2 linked regions of the Tribolium castaneum genome follow. Each later gene encodes a partner of the first gene's protein in a complex. Links are inferred from orthologs where the notes say so. Each region holds a gene or a part of one and is shown on either strand. Other genes may lie near its edges.

The links.
Region 2: CSN7 (region 1) and CSN4 share a complex: the UniProt entries of both Drosophila melanogaster proteins name them as parts of the CSN complex. The link is inferred for Tribolium castaneum from reciprocal best matches to the Drosophila melanogaster genes CSN7 and CSN4.

What each region holds. Positions count from the first base shown.
Region 1 is NC_087395.1:495,533-503,446, forward strand, and holds CSN7 (COP9 signalosome complex subunit 7b), read left to right. Parts: upstream 1-3,498; 5' UTR 3,499-3,595; coding exon 3,596-3,760; intron 3,761-3,808; coding exon 3,809-3,973; intron 3,974-5,891; coding exon 5,892-6,200; intron 6,201-6,256; coding exon 6,257-6,427; 3' UTR 6,428-6,534; downstream 6,535-7,914. Other genes in the region: IQ domain-containing protein E-like, read right to left, coding at 107-533, 592-835, 884-1,268, 3,027-3,188, 3,236-3,250. UniProt on the Drosophila melanogaster protein: Component of the COP9 signalosome complex (CSN), a complex involved in various cellular and developmental processes.
Region 2 is NC_087399.1:5,886,390-5,894,365, reverse strand, and holds the start of CSN4 (COP9 signalosome complex subunit 4), read right to left. Parts: upstream 5,230-7,976; 5' UTR 5,212-5,229; coding exon 5,129-5,211; intron 5,077-5,128; exon of another isoform or gene 4,900-5,076; coding exon of another isoform or gene 4,414-4,899; intron 3,672-4,413; coding exon of another isoform or gene 3,509-3,671; intron 3,462-3,508; coding exon of another isoform or gene 3,188-3,461; intron 3,136-3,187; coding exon of another isoform or gene 3,096-3,135; exon of another isoform or gene 2,981-3,095; intron 2,856-2,980; exon of another isoform or gene 2,716-2,855; coding exon of another isoform or gene 2,633-2,715; intron 2,587-2,632; coding exon 2,507-2,586; intron 2,458-2,506; coding exon 1,754-2,457; intron 346-1,753; coding exon 117-345; intron 67-116; coding exon 1-66. Other genes in the region: sds22 (protein phosphatase 1 regulatory subunit 7), read left to right, coding at 3,096-3,135, 3,188-3,461, 3,509-3,671, 4,414-4,899; longitudinals lacking protein, isoforms H/M/V, read left to right, coding at 5,230-5,409, 5,465-5,638, 5,716-5,815, 5,862-6,148; flr (actin-interacting protein 1), read right to left, coding at 6,397-6,506, 6,555-6,705, 6,847-7,080, 7,716-7,976. UniProt on the Drosophila melanogaster protein: Component of the COP9 signalosome complex (CSN), a complex involved in various cellular and developmental processes.

The sequences.
Region 1 (7,914 bases):
ATGGCTAATTCTTATTCATAATCGATCGAGCTTTATTTTCACTTATTAAAATTCACAATAATAAAACTAAGTATACTAGAAAAATAAATCTAAAAATGAAAGTGCTTCAATTTGGTGTTTCAACTGCTTCATATTCTTCAAACACTTCATTATCATACTCATCTTCTCTGTCATCAGGTGATTTTGATTTTTCCTTTATTGTAATATTATCTCTTTCAATGTAAAGACACTGATTGGAAAATTCCGTATTGTCATTTAAATCGTCTACTTGAACCATAACACTTTTGGTTCCTTGAGTCTTATTATTTTTGAACTTGAATTTTGGGCCATTTGTGCCCTCAGATCCTGTTTTCTTCCCTTTGGTTTTATCTTTGCTTTTATTTTCTTTTACACTTTTGTTGGTCACCTTATTTGCCGTATACACTTTTGCAACTAGATCTGCACTGTGGAATCTTCTACTATAATTTCTGTTTGGTTTTGGTTTATTGAGTCTCAAGTTTTTTAGTTCTTTGGCTAACATATCGATTGTAAAACTAGAAAAATATTAACATCATACTTGTCATAAATAATAAAAAATTGGGTAAAACTTACTTTTCTTTTTTTATCGCAGAGTCAGTTTTATTTTTATCAATTTGTAATTCAGTCACTGTATTTTTTAAGTGACCTAGTTCTGCAATAATGTCGAGAAAATATGAATGCAGTTGTTGAATTTCTTCATGTGGACTTTCACAAAGAAGTTCAATTCGTTCAAGATCACTTTCCGGACTTGATTTCCGAGAACTTGTTTGTCGAGAATTTGAATCTTTAATTGTTGAAAGAAAATTTTTGTATTGATCTAAAACACGACTATAAGTGGTAACAATTGATTTAAATGTTTACTTACCTTTTCCTCCACTTTTACTTCTTTCATTTTGATGTTTTTTATTAAATTCGACTGAAGATTCAGCTTCACAAGTCCATGATAAGCTCCTGTTTGTTTTTTTCTTTATTTCATCATTAAATATTGTATGTTTAACATTTTTCAAAGTAGGGACTTTAATTTGAATTTGTCCAATTTCATTGTCCCAGTTTAAATCATCCGAATATTTATTCTGGAATTGTTTTTGGAGAGGTTGGGAATATAATTTGGCTGCACCAAGTTGATTTTGCAAACGTCGTATGATGATGTCTTTTTCATGAAGTATTTGTAAAAGTTCGTCATTTTTTTCTTTCATATTTAAGACAAAGGAGGCGCTCCGTTCGTACAGAATTTTAGAGACTTCTATGGGCTACAATAAAAAAAAATGTTTTTTTTTTAAATTCGATAGATAATAACAAAATCAAACGTCTATGCTGCAATTAATTTAATAGTAAGATAAATGACACCAAAAATTTTACACAAAATAAAATAAAATAAACAACTTTTACCTAAAAATAACGTTAAAACAGAGTTTTTTTATTAACTGTTGGAGTAATTTCTTATTAAAAAGTGTTATAAAAGTTAAAAAAAAGATTTTGATAAGACAAACATTTTTTGTTACAATCAGGTGATTTATCAATAAGATGAATTTATTTGAAAATGAAAATAAAAATTAAATACAAGATTTTTATCATTTTTTGTATAAGATAGTCAAGTTTTTAACTGTTTTTTTATCCAAATTAATTTATAAATCAGATTGTTTTTGTTTAACACTGGAAATTTAACAAAATAAAAATAAGGACTTTTTAACAAATCTTAAGAAAGTAAATGAGATTTTAAAGCTCGGTATGATCAGTAAGATTGTTTTTTTGGCACCAAAAATTAAAAAGAAAATACAATGAAATATAAAATTAAAGAATTATTTAACATTTTTTGTTCAAAGATAATAATCATACTTTTGATTTATGAGTTAGATCGATTATTCTTTGACACTGAAAATTAAAAAAGAAAGAAAAATAAAAAATAAGAATAAGGAATTTTTGTTCAAAGACAATCAAACTATTATGCTCGGTTTTGCTCTAATTACTTTTTGAGTTAGACTGTTTTTTTAACAAAAATAAAAAAATACATATACATATGAATATGTTTTTTTTTAACAATTGTTGCCTGAAAATGATAAAATTTTTCCGATTGTATTTTTGTTACTACAATGAATTTATCAGTAAAATAGATTTTTTTGACGAAAAAAAAATAAGTAAAATAAAAATAGAAATTTTTAAAACTTCTTTCCTTAAGACAATAAAATTTTTAAGTGTGATTTTATTACTACAATTAATTTATTAGTAAGACTTATCTTTTTTGATCCTAAAAATAAAAAAGAAAGAATAAAAATAAAGAATTCTTAACAGTTTTTATATCTTATATAATTATACTTTTTTAAGCTTAGTTTTTGTTCCAATTGATCGTCTTTTTTAGATACCGAAAATTAAAAAGAAAATCAAAATAAAAAATTAAATAAGAATTTTTAACAATTATTGCCAAAAAAAAATAATTTTAACGTTCGTTTTTTATAACCACAATTAGTTATCTGTAAGACAGCAAAATTAAAACAAAAGTAAAAAATAATTATGTGGAATTTTTTACAATTTTTAAGCTGGGCTTTTGTTACTTCAATTAATTTATTAGTATATTTAATATAACTGTTTTTTTTGGCTCCGAGAATTAAAAAAATAAAAATAAGGAATCTTTGACATTTCTTACCTAAGGATGGTTAAATTTTAAAGCTCGGTTTTTATTTACTATTTAATTTATCGGTATGATTTATTTGTTGCCTTATTTGACTATACTTATTTGAATAAATTTGTACAAGTTTTATAGACGCCAATTTGTTGTAATTTTAGCAAAACTTTTTATACATAAACCTAATAATAACAGCTAAATTTAATTGTTTTACCTTCAATTACTAAGAAAATCATTTATTTATTGTCATATAAGGATAAAATTACAAACAAATAGTGTCAATGATGTTTTGTGAAAAACTTAAAAGAAATAAAAGAACAAATTCTCCGAAAGAAAGCGAAACACTAAAATTGTTTAAAAACTTGAAACTTTTAATAGAGTTTTTTACCTTTTTTGGATCCAATATAGCATCAATTTGTTTATCCTTTTTAATAATTTCATTCTGCAATTTGCGTATTTTCACCTTTAGCATACGATTTTCGGTGCTAATGTTGGATAAATTTTTCTTCAGATGAAAAATTTCAGTCCGCAAATCTCCATCATCTTGTAACTAATAATACAAAGTATAAATAAACTAAAGTATAAATATTTTATTACCTCATTTCGAAACATTGTAGCCGAAGACGAAGTTACGTTTGTTTTGTTTGTAATTTAAGTATTGATCAAACAAATTTTACAATGTAATTAGCAACGGATTGCAGCAAACACAAACATAAATATAGCCGGGTTAAAAATATTATATAATTAAAACTATTGTATCTATTTTCTACTATTTCTTACTTTCTTTAATCAATGTTGTTAAATTTTAAACAAATTTAAATTTACCGCTTTATGTCAAAAGCTGCGCAGGCGCAATTATGTTTCTTTGACATTTGACAGCAGCGTGTGACAGCTGATCGGTTGTTGTGTTTAAAAAGTGCTTCAAAAACAACAAATTAACTAATAAAAACTAAAAAAATGGTTATTGAAAAAAATCCTTTCCCTGGCAATGCCTTGGAACAATTTGTTTTATTGTCAAAGTCAACAAAAGGGGCTGCTTGTTCCGAACTGATCAAGCAAGTGTTGGAAGCCCCCGGTGTTTACGTTTTTGGTGAATTACTTCACATGCAAAACATTGAAGAGGTAATCAAACATATTTTTACATTTATACATTAACTAAGTGTTTTGTAGTTGAGTAATACACCACAGAAAAATTTCTACAACACTCTCAACTTGTTTGCTTACGGAACCTACAAGGATTATCTAGCAAATAAGAAGGATTTAATTGAATTAAGCCCAGCTCAGAAGAAAAAGCTTCAACATTTAACCATTGTTACGTTGGCCACCAAATCAAAGGTAGTTAAAGTAATTCCACTTTAGTGAAATTAAGTTTTTAATATGGATAACTATAGATTAGGAAACGACACGACCTACAAATAAAAAGTCCTCGTTCTCGATAGTTTCGATAGTGTTGTGTAGATGGCGGAGCACATTATTGTATTAAAATTTATCAATGGTTTTAATAGCAGTTAGCACATGGTATCCAAAAAAAGCATGTTAATGCAGCTTTTGGCTATCATTTTTTATTAAAAAAAATACAAGTTATTGCAATTTGCGAATGTTTCGGCATAAAAATGTCATCAGCTCTTAATGATTTTGTTTAATCTAGTTTGTTTAAAAACAAAAAAATTGTTGGCGTTCTTTCCAAAGCACTCTTTGTAAAAATGCTTTTTTCTCCATTTTGATGAGCATTTAAGATTCGATTATATCATGTGATACATAGATGTAATCGGAAATGAAAACACTTCAAAAATACAAAAAGCAAATATGGCTTCCATAAGAAAAAACAAAATTTAGTGTTGTAACACTGACATCAAGAACGCCTTGGAAAATGGGACGACAGATTTAGATTTCTTGTAAAAATGTACCTAAAGAACGTTCTAGTTAAAAACGTCTAGTTCTTTTGGTTTTCACTCGAAAAAAATTAAAACCCAAATTTTAACCACCTCGTATCTCGTATAATAACTGAGATTCCCATGGTGGAGCTGAAAAAACGGCCACCCAGTACATTGTTTTGACTACTATAACAATCTAAAGATAATCGAGTATATTCCTAAAATTCATAAAAGGGACATAAATTTGTACCATGTTACATGTTCAAGTTAACAAAAAAAACAAATATAAAAAAATTAAAAAAAGATTTTTTAACCATTTTTGCCTAGCGATAATCAAACTTTTCTGCTCGGTTTTTGTTACTACAATGAATTTATCAGTATCTAATACGAGTGATTTTTTTGAAAGTGAAAACAAAAAAATTAAAAACATTTTAAGCTTCTTTTTGATCCAAAAACTAGAAATTTTTACCGTACTTTATAATAAATCTTCTAAAAAGTCTGCAATTTTTTTTTATTTTTTGTCAAAAATAATTAAACTATCGACAAATTTACGTCATTTTCAAGCATTTTTGCACAAAAACTATTCAGTTCAAAATTGTACTATTTTTTAACTTTGTAAAAAAGTTGCATTGCATTTTTCTCTACAACTTTTTTTTAATAGAACGACTCTATTTTCTTAACGGCAATGGAAAGAATATCGATATTTATGGTGACTTTTATCAATACGTCCTATACCAATCTCTTACAGTTTTTGAAAAAAATCACAAAAAACGGATTTTACTTGGTAGTTTTCATAGTTAATCAAGTATACCTTGCAAAATGGTCAACAATTATCAAACTTCAATTTTTTATTTAGTTTTTAGCTGTTTCATTATCGAATAATCAGTAAAATAATCACATTTAATTATAGTTTATTATAAGTTAGTGAATTATGTAAAGTAACTCAGTCAGTTTGCCATTGATCCTTGAACTTCTTGAATGAAAATGGTAAATAAATAGGACATTTCTTTTTGTTAACAGTACAATTTTATCGTATTTTTCAAAAGTTTACTTGATTAAAAATGAAAATAATGAGCTAAAATTCTGTTTTTTGCGATTATTTCAAATACTGTAAGAAATAGATATATAGAAGATGTTATTAAAAGTATGCATAAAAATTGATGTTCTTTTGATTGCTATTTAAAAAACTGGGTAATTCCATTTGAAAAACTGTTTTATAATCATTTTTTAATCATCATTTTCAACAAATCATACCTCTAGCTATGTTAGAAGTTAAAGTTTCTAATGTAGGCTCTAAAAGAATCAGCCTATCTACTAATTTAACAAAATTTGATTGATTTTTCTTAGAGCAAGTAATAATAAAAACAATGTTTTTTTAGTGTATTCCGTACAACACCCTTCTGGAAGAGCTAGGCATAACAAATGTTCGTGATTTGGAGGACTTAATAATTGAGGCGATTTACGCTGACATTATTCATGGAAAATTGGACCAGAAAAATAGTCAATTGGAGGTTGATTATGCCATAGGTCGTGATATTCGTCCTGAAGACATTAATGTAATTGTGAATTGTCTCCAAGACTGGTGTTCGGCCTGTGAAGGTGTTTTGGCTTGTGTTGAAACACAAATACATAGAGCAAATAATGAAAAAAATAAATCAATGTTGAGAAAAGCTGAAGTGGAGCAAGAGGTATTTTTTTCGAGTTTGTATCATTACTTTGTTTTAGATATGCATTTTTTTTGTAGATTAGTAACATTAAAAAGACTCTGAAAACTCAATTACAAGAACGCTCTGATGGAACTGACGAGGCTATGGCTACTGATAACAGGGAAGCTGCAGCAATTAGCGAAAAAGGAAAAAAGTCAACTAAAATCAAAGGTATAAGGCATAGCAGTAAGTTTTGGCTTAAATCTTAATAATTTTTTTCTAATATATTAACATGTAACAATTTTAATGAGATCGTAAGTGTTATTTAATTATTGTTTGTACCTTTGGTACAAAATAAAATCTCTGTGAAATTCTAGCAGTTTAATATAGATAACCCATCCAAAATCCTTTGTAATAATAATGAGTTTGGGTTCGTTTTTTTTTAATTTTGAAACGTGTGTAATGTTTTTGTGGAAGTTAAAATGGAACATTGTATTTTCTAGGATTAAAACTTCTTCGTTAGTGATGTCTTCCAAGTTGGGATCACACCGCCAGTTGGTACACAAATAATGTTTAATTGCTGATTTTCTTGTAAATTTGTATTTGTGGTTAATAAAAAATTTTTTCTTACCTTACTGTTTTTTTTTAAACCTTACATCTAAAATATTGGGAGATCTAATAACGATATTCTTTTGAGAATTTGAATGCAGCTGTAACCCGTTATGTTTTAATCAAGATGGCGGCTTTCCCGGCTATATTGTGAATTACTCGAGTTATAAAAGGAAGTTTTCAAAACACATGGCTTACTGCTTAAAATAAAAAATATATCCAGAAGTGCCTCCATCTTGAAAATATGGCTGTGTACCAGGTTTTTTGACTGGTAATGATTTCAAAAATAAAAACAAAGAGCTTAAAATTTATTATAATTTTTTTTTCGAGATTTACTGCTGATTTATAAAAGTTTAAATAAAGGTGACACAAACTTAATAATAACCCGTCTTTATTAGAGTTGTAAATACCAAAGCCAGTAGATATACTAAAGTAGCGACACGGACCTTGACAGGGCAACAATAACGATTATACACTCTAGAGAAGGCGCTACTATCGAATTTAAAATTATACTTTTGAAGTCCGTCAAAACTGTCAAGATTTCTTCACCTTTGCGAAATTAGAAAATCAACACAGTGAGAGCATTGATCATCTGTGGATTCACTCGACTTGATACTTTTTACATGCATTGATAGCCCGAAATCTTCAAACCGGTACTTAAATCACGTAAATAATAATTAAATCGATATCAAAAGCAGTATGCAATACAGTTGTGCATTCTACAGAAGAACCATTTAGATTGTCCAAAATGTATATTTTGAAATAAAAGACGGTTTTCATTAAGAAAAGTTTAATACAGCAACTCTCATACCGACACTTTTGCTTGAACATTTGAGAGAAGTTGCGGGTTTCTCAATAGTGTACTCATTTTTTAGGCAAATGTAAATTCTGGATTTAAAAAATAAACTAATAACACGTTTTAAAATAAAACGACAATTTGGAACGTTGTAATTTTTCAAATTAAGGAATTGTGACATCAAATTTTCTAATTTTATGGAACCTGCTATTAACTGCCTAACATTTTGCCTAAAAAATATTTCGGCGTCCAAAATTACAAAATAAATTTCTCTTGAAGGATAAATTAGTAATCCTTCCTTATAAGATTTCAAGTTGACCAACGTGTTTAAATTTTGTATTTCGGCACTGT
Region 2 (7,976 bases), on another chromosome or scaffold:
TGATTGAATTCACCTGGTAGCAGAGAGACTGGATTTGTTTGTCCCACTGGGGCAAAGTTTCACGAGCTGGAACAAAGCGATCAAATACACATCGTAAACAACACCAGCTTTAGTACTTTCAAAGTGGACGATTGAATCGATTTGGTCAATGTAACCGTTCATTCGCCCTTCGGTTATCATCTGACTTGCGATTTTTTCAGCCTTGGAAGGGTGTATTTCGAGCAAAGCTCCCAACTCTTCGAAACTAATATTATTATAAAGTTTACTAGCAGACAGGAGATTGTGTTCGATAACGGCGCGGTCCAGAATTGTTGACCCATCAATGGTGCTCGCCTTTTGGTGGGGCTACAATGAATCGACAGTTTTATAAGAGGTCGCTTAACCTTTGCAACATTGTGATAATAAAGCGTTAGTTAATTCCCGTTAATTAAGCAAGTGATAAGACCTGCAATTACGGCAAACAACTCATGCATCACTGTGTTTACAAAGTGTGACGATATTAAACAATAAAGAGTATTATCCTCAATTAGTTGCTCCGTTGCATCACATTACTTTTTTATTCTCACACGTAAATAACCTCGTGAGATGTTATATAGATGATCAGTTTATTATTAGATTTCTGGAATCCGTCTCGGCGCGCATTATTTCGACGTAGACAAATATCGACGTCAACAGTATTATGAAATTCATTTTTTGTAAATAAAAAATCAATTAAATAAATATGAAATCAATTAAGAACTTTAATTAAATCGTTTTTATTGGTACTAAACCTAAGTCAAAAGTAGACAAAGGTTAAATTTAACGCAGCTTTGCTTAAATTAAACTCACAGTGGAGTTCATCGGCATTTACAAGGAGGAAATATCAGTAGATAACTTAACACACATTTCATTTTTCCCTGTGTGAACTATTTAAAGCACATGCATTACACAAAGTGTAACCGTAATCCGGCTCTGATTAAACAGAAACCTAAAACGTGCTAAACCAGCAATCTTATTTCACCATAATACTTTAATGAGACAAAAAAATGTTCCTAAAATGACATCGGGAATAAATCATCTGAGAAAAAAGTTAGGGTTACAGTGAAACCTCCCATAAGCGGACACCGACATGCTTTTTGTCCGCTTAATGGAAAAGAAATAGCAATTTATATATAAAAACAAACTAAAATAAAAGGCTTCGCTTTTCACAAACGTTACACTTCCATAAAACATGTACTACCTACTTATGTGATTCCCCGATTTTTTTGATCAATTGTCATAATAACTATTAATCACACGCGCGTATGATGTGCTGTCCGCTTAAAGGAGATATTTTGTTTCCAAGGATTTGAATTGCATTGTGCGCGTCCGTTTATTGGAGCGTCCGCTTAAAATACATTATCTAAAAAAAGGCCCGTTTGTCAGAGGGGTCCGCTTATCGGAGGTGTCCCTTAAGAGAGATATTACTTGTGTTGGTATTTGAATACATTCATCTTCATTTTATGATTATACGTTTGTAAGGGTGATAATTAATAATAATAATTTTATTTATAATATTAATAATAATTAATAATACTGATTATCAAATTAACAAATGGTATTAGTATTTTTATTGCTTTTGCAGATTTTCTTTAAAACTTGTTTCAATCAATTTAATTCAAGATGATACTTTTATGTCAATAATTTTTCAGTATTTAATTGTACAAAGGACTCAAAAAAATACAAATTTATCATAGTTATGCAACTAACAATACAACACTTTTTATACACGTACCTGCAACAAGGCCTCAAAATCCCTCAATTCGGACCTCCTGATGATTCTTTCGAGGTACATTTTTTCCAAAATCGCCACTGCTGGCAACTGTTGGCACCTCTCGTCCTTGAACAGTGTGGCCAACATGCGCGATCTTTGTTGCCCCGCTGAAGCCAAAACAGTGCAAACTAAAGCATTCCGAAGGGCTGTCATGCGTTCATCTTCATGAACAATCGTCCTATAGGACAATTCATTGTATCTCTGAGCCGCCTCAATAAACTTCCGCCGATAATCCAAAACTCGAGCATAACAAACTTTGTAATAAATTTGAAGCTGCTCATTCCGTGACTCGGCCTGAAGCAGCGACGCCCGGTTGATGAAAGCCTCAGCCTGGACCGGATCGTCATCCTCAAGATACAACCTCGCGATTTTCAAATACGTTTCAAGTTTGTAATCCACGGTGTATTGTTTCTGGCCGGTTTCGAGCGGGATTCCCACCAGGACAGCTGCAGCCTCGCGCCACATGTGGTTACGTTCGTAGATATCGGCCAAATGTTGGCGAATACTTGCCACCTGCTCCTCAAACGAAATAACCCGGGGTTGCACCTTCTCAAGCATAAAGTGTGAGACAGTTTTGGAAACATCGTCGGGTAGTTTCATCAAATGCGAGCTTATTTCGGTCAGGATTTGGCGCGAGATGACCAAACTAACGTTCTCATTGACAACTGAAACGACTTGAGTTAGACTGGGTTGGTGGCTGTGGGGGGTACGGACTTGCTTCGATGAATATCTGCAAGCCTTCGGTCAGCTCGGGGCCCGAACCGGCGAGGATGTTCTCAAGAATACCGCGATATCTGTTAAAAATTAATGTTTTTTTTAATTTTTTTTACATAACCTCACTTTTCGGCCTGGTCTTTGTGGGAGCCCCCGGACGCGATTATGTTGGAGAGTTGGGTGCGGATAGCCGCGCTTTTCTCCGACATGGTGCTCCGCTACTATTTTGGCCACAAATAATAATAAATTATTTTAATTTAACTAAAAGTAGTTTTTGACAAATGACTGACAAAACAGCAATTGCCAACACAACGCTATTGCCGGTTGTGGTAATTTTGTCTAAAAAACACACTTGCAAGTAAATTGTTGTCTTTGCTCTGTAAATAAATACTTGCGACCAATTGCAAGTACAGTTTACTTTAATTAACGTGTGAATAAGGGGTTAAGGGGAAGACGATTTGATTTAATAGGTTGGCTGCACGTGTTGAAGTCAAACTCAAACGTCACGGATGTTTGCTGTCACCCGCCTTTAAATTAGTCACTTAATTAAATTGCAATAAACAGAAATAGTCCAGTGTGAGTGCGAAAAATGCCTTCTCCGCAACAAAACGAGAGTTCCCCCGAGCCCGGTAAGAGAATTCGTTACTTTCGTCGAAAGTCCATGCTCATTGTTAGCCCCAGAGACGTCCACTTCGAACGACAATAAGGAAAAAGGGGCCACTGTCAACGAAATAATGGTAATAGACCCGGACACCCTTGAGCTGGACCTAAACCATGGCAGGATCAGCAAGCTCGAAAACCTTGAGCCCTTGACACAAATCGAGCGCCTCTTCCTGAGGTGGAATTTGATCACCAAAATTGAGAATTTGGACACGTTAGTCACGCTCCGCGAATTGGAATTGTACGATAACCAAATCGTCAAAATGGAAAATCTGGGATGTTTGGTTAATTTAGAGTAAGGAGTGACTCATTTGTGAATGTTGCGAAATATGGCTTTAAAAGGATTCTAGATTTGTCGTTTAATCGTATCAAGGAGATTGAGGGACTGGAGAATTTGCACAATTTAGAAAAACTCTTCCTGTCGTCGAACAAAATCAGCAAAATCAAAAATGTGAAGCACTTGCAGAAGCTGACAATGCTGGAGCTGGGGGACAACAAAATTAGGGTAAGTGTTTATCCTATGGAGGATAATAACTTAGGAGACGAAACTGCGCCGTATTCCCAGCGTTTTGATAAATGTTATCGCTTAGAATTATCAATTTGCGTTCCACCTTATATTTCTGCGAGCTCTGCGAATACAGTTGAAGATACAAAAAAAGTGTAAGGAACAAAGTTGTAGAGAATAAAATTTTCTACAAAAAAGTCCGCGACACCATATTTCTATCTTTAATAGTTTAGGTACGAATTAACTTTCCAATACTTGACCACCGGCAAAATTAAGGAAATCCGTTGCTTGAGCGTCTTTGAACGACTTTGGGGCCTAAATGGTTCAAGATAGGAACATGGTCTCGCGGACTTTTTTGTAGGAAATTTAATTCTCTACAATTTTCTTCCTAACATTTTTCTTGTATCTGTAACCGTATTCGCAGCGTTTTGAAAAATATCTGACAGAGTGCAAAATTGGTAAAAGTTTACGATAAAATTTTTGCACTGTGTTTATCTCTGAATATTGAGAATTTAATGCTATATCTGCCTGTTTTTTTTTGTTTGCTATGTGTGAACAGTAATAAAAATACAACCATGTTTTGAAATGCGCCCTCTGGCGACATTAACGGAGCTATCGAGGACGAGAACGTTTTATTTGTACGTCGTTTCATATTCTAACCTTTAGATCTTCGTAGTTTATCCTTTGAGTGTTTTCAGTTGTTAGTCATAATCTGTGACTTCTAAAACCGTCCTAATTGCAGGACATAGAGAACCTGGAAAACATGCCAGCCCTGACCCACCTCTACTTGGGCAAAAATAAAATATCAAAAATAAAAAACTTGGACAGTCTGACCAACGTGACGTGTCTGAGCCTGCAAAGCAACCGAATAACGCGTATCGAGAATTTGGATAAGCTCACACAATTGACCGAACTGTACATTTCCGAGAACGGAATTCATAAAATAGAAAATCTTACGCATAACACGTTGCTACAGACCTTGGATTTGGCGAAAAATAAAATAAAGTTGATTGAAAACATCGAGCATTTGAACGACTTGGAGGAGTTTTGGATGAATGATAATGAAGTTTCCGATTGGGGAACTGTCGAGAATTTATCGAAGAACAAAAAGCTGGCTACAGTTTACTTGGAGCGGAATCCGCTCGAGAAGGACCCGATGTACAGGAGGAAATTGAAGATGATCGCGCCCTCTCTAACCCAGATCGACGCGACTTTGTGTCAGTTGTAAAATATTGTTTTGTAAATTAAGGAAACCACCGTTGCCATCTGTGCATTTATGAGTTGATTAGCTAATGAGTAACGATTAATTTTAGGCGTCTAATTATAAACCAATCACCCAATTGTGAAAATCGGTTTTAATTTTGATAAGCCCCTGCTACGTAAAAATAAACCAAATAACAATAAACCCGTCGTGTTATTTCCGTTTGAAATTGAAAGGTTAGCAAATTTGCTGGCACCTGTTTTGTTCTCCAGTAGTTTTAAAAATAGCCAAGCTGGATAAATTCTGGGTTTGTGGGCCAGTTCCTGCGATTTTTCCCATCCAAGCTGACGCGTCACAATGAGCGAGCAGTTCGTCCTGCGATGGCACTACCAAGAGCTCACCCTCCTCAAAAACCTCACCACGTTCCTCGAAAACGACGTTCTCACCGATGTCACCATCTCGGTCGAATCCCACACCGTTAAGGCGCACAAACTGGTGTTAGCAATGTGCAGTGTGTACTTTTTCCAGCTGTTCCAGGTGAGTTTTCGCGAAATCACCGTCTATTTTTAAACGACATTACGCCCACTTGTAGGAAATGAGGGACACGCAGCATCCGGTCATTGTGCTGCATAACGTCGCCCTGAGCGACATTAAGGCCGTCCTGGCGTTCATATACAGGGGGCAGTGCGTGGTCTCCAAGGAGCAGCTGCCAGGGCTGCTCTCCCTGGCCAAGCTCCTCAAAATACAAGGACTATGTGATATGAAGGTTAGTCCCCAAAGCCCTAATTACTTATTGGCACCGTGGCCCGTTATGTAACCAAACGTAAACCTAGATTTTGTTAGGTACCTGAAAAACCCCAACTAAACGACATTTCAAGCGAAAAAAGACCAAACTCAACCGACAATGCGCACAAAACCGAAAGTTCGGAAAAAGCAACCGAACGTAAGCTCGAACGGCTTGTTGGTGTCCCCTCTTAATTTTCTTACAGATTTTGCGGAAACTTTCCTGAAAAACAACGACGAAGAAGACGACAGTTACTCGCTTCCGAGTAAAAAACATGCGAAAGACTTGTCTGAAACTTGCAAGTGCTTCCTTTGTGGCAAATACCTCAGTAATCAGTACAATTTGCGCGTGCACATGGAGACCCACGAAGAGGCTTACCATGCCTGCCAGTCTTGCCCCCACGTGTCACGAAGTCGGGACGCTTTGAGAAAACACGTCTCGTACCGACACCCAGAGGAGTACCACACCAGGAAGCGCAAAAAAATAACTTGAACTTTATCAGACAGCTATTTATTCAATATAAACAAAAATAATACTTTTTAGATTATAGTATTTGGATGATTTAGCAGATTTTTCATTCATCATAACACTCCTCGATTTAAATATTTACACTATTAGAAAATCAATACTTGAAATAAATTAATTGACACGTCGGTTAGGCCCGCCACTGCATCACCCTACTGTATGTAATAAATAAAAAAGCTTTACGTTAAATGCAAAAAGGCCATTTAAAAAAATTATTAGAACTTGGTGATGGTCCACAATTTCGTGTTGCAATCCTGCCCCACTGAGACCAAAGTCTGGTCGTCAAGCCAGGCTAATCTAGTGACTTGACTTTGAGCATGAGCGTCTGAAAACAACCCTTATTTTCCGCCCTTACTTAACACAAACTACTCACTTTTGATTATAATATGTTTGGCGGGCTTTTCAACAGACCAGATAATGATACTCGTGTCCAAACTACCACTAGCGACTAGCAAAGAGTCGGGCGACCAAGCAACGCTGTTAACACGCGCGTTGTGGAAACCCCATTCTTGATTGGTGGCGAGCTAATAACGATTATTGTAATCAAAAACGCGAAAAATGTGTAAAAAGCAAACAATTAAAATTTGGTTATTACTTACATTCTGTTCCGAATGCGTGCAACAATTAATTTCATCAATGGTAACTACAGACGCACAAAAACTTACCTTGTATTCAGGAACACTATACAGTACGACTTTTCTGTGGGCATCACAGGCCACTAGATACTTGTCATCGGGAGAGTAGGCAACGTCTGTTACGGCACCCAAATGGTCCAATTCTTGCAAGGGTACCAACTCTGTGCCTTTCAGTTCGTATAAATGCACCTTGTTGTCCATGGCACCACCCACAGCCACGTGACCCCGCGGCGAAACGCTGACACTTGACGGTTCATAAGACACCTTCAATTGTTTTCGTCAATAAGATAAAACAAATGCTTTCAAAAAAAGAAAATCAGCAAAGAGCGACTCGTCAAAACTTTCATACAGGGTGGCTCACCTAACACTTTCGAGCTTTTCAATTAGGAGCTAAAAAATTAAGTTAAAAAATTCTTTTATTTAAAATTAAGCCCAATTTCTATTATCAGATGATTAAATCTTGAAAAATAGGTGGCCACACAAAAAAAATATTTTTTAGTACAAGTTTAAATGATTTAACATTTTAAGAAGGCTTGTAAAAATGACGTTTTTAAGAATTGAGTTGGATTATATCTAATCTTTACCTTCTAAAATATCTGATTTTTAAATTTCATAAGAATCCGTTGACAAATAACTGAAATATCGGGCTTGAAAGTCTTAGGTGAGACATCCTATTGTAAATTTGATAAACTGAAAATTTTAACAGTTATTATTTGTATAAATGACAGTTCGCTGTTTAACTAATTATGAAACTTGTCACTTTACTGAATTTCTCATTGATCTCTGACTGAAATGAAGTTGGAAATATTGAATTGTTGGTGTTGGGGACATTTGATAGTCAAGTTTGCCAACTTAATTTTAAAGCCATAGACCACTGCTCGAAATTGACTGTTTCAAACCTTCAAAGTGCTTGCTTTCCTGTTATCTTGCGAGACGGTGATTTCGTTAACACTCGCTGTGACCACCACATTTTGCTCTTTTAAAATGTCCATTCCGCGAGGTTGCGACCCCAACTTCAAATCTTGCCCTTTGTACGTGTTGCCCTCAATGTCGATTTGTTTTAAAGAGTCATCAATACCACAAGTGTACAAAGTACCACCATGTACCCTCATCCCATTGATCTGGTTACCATGACCCACGCCCTCAACCCGATCGTTCTC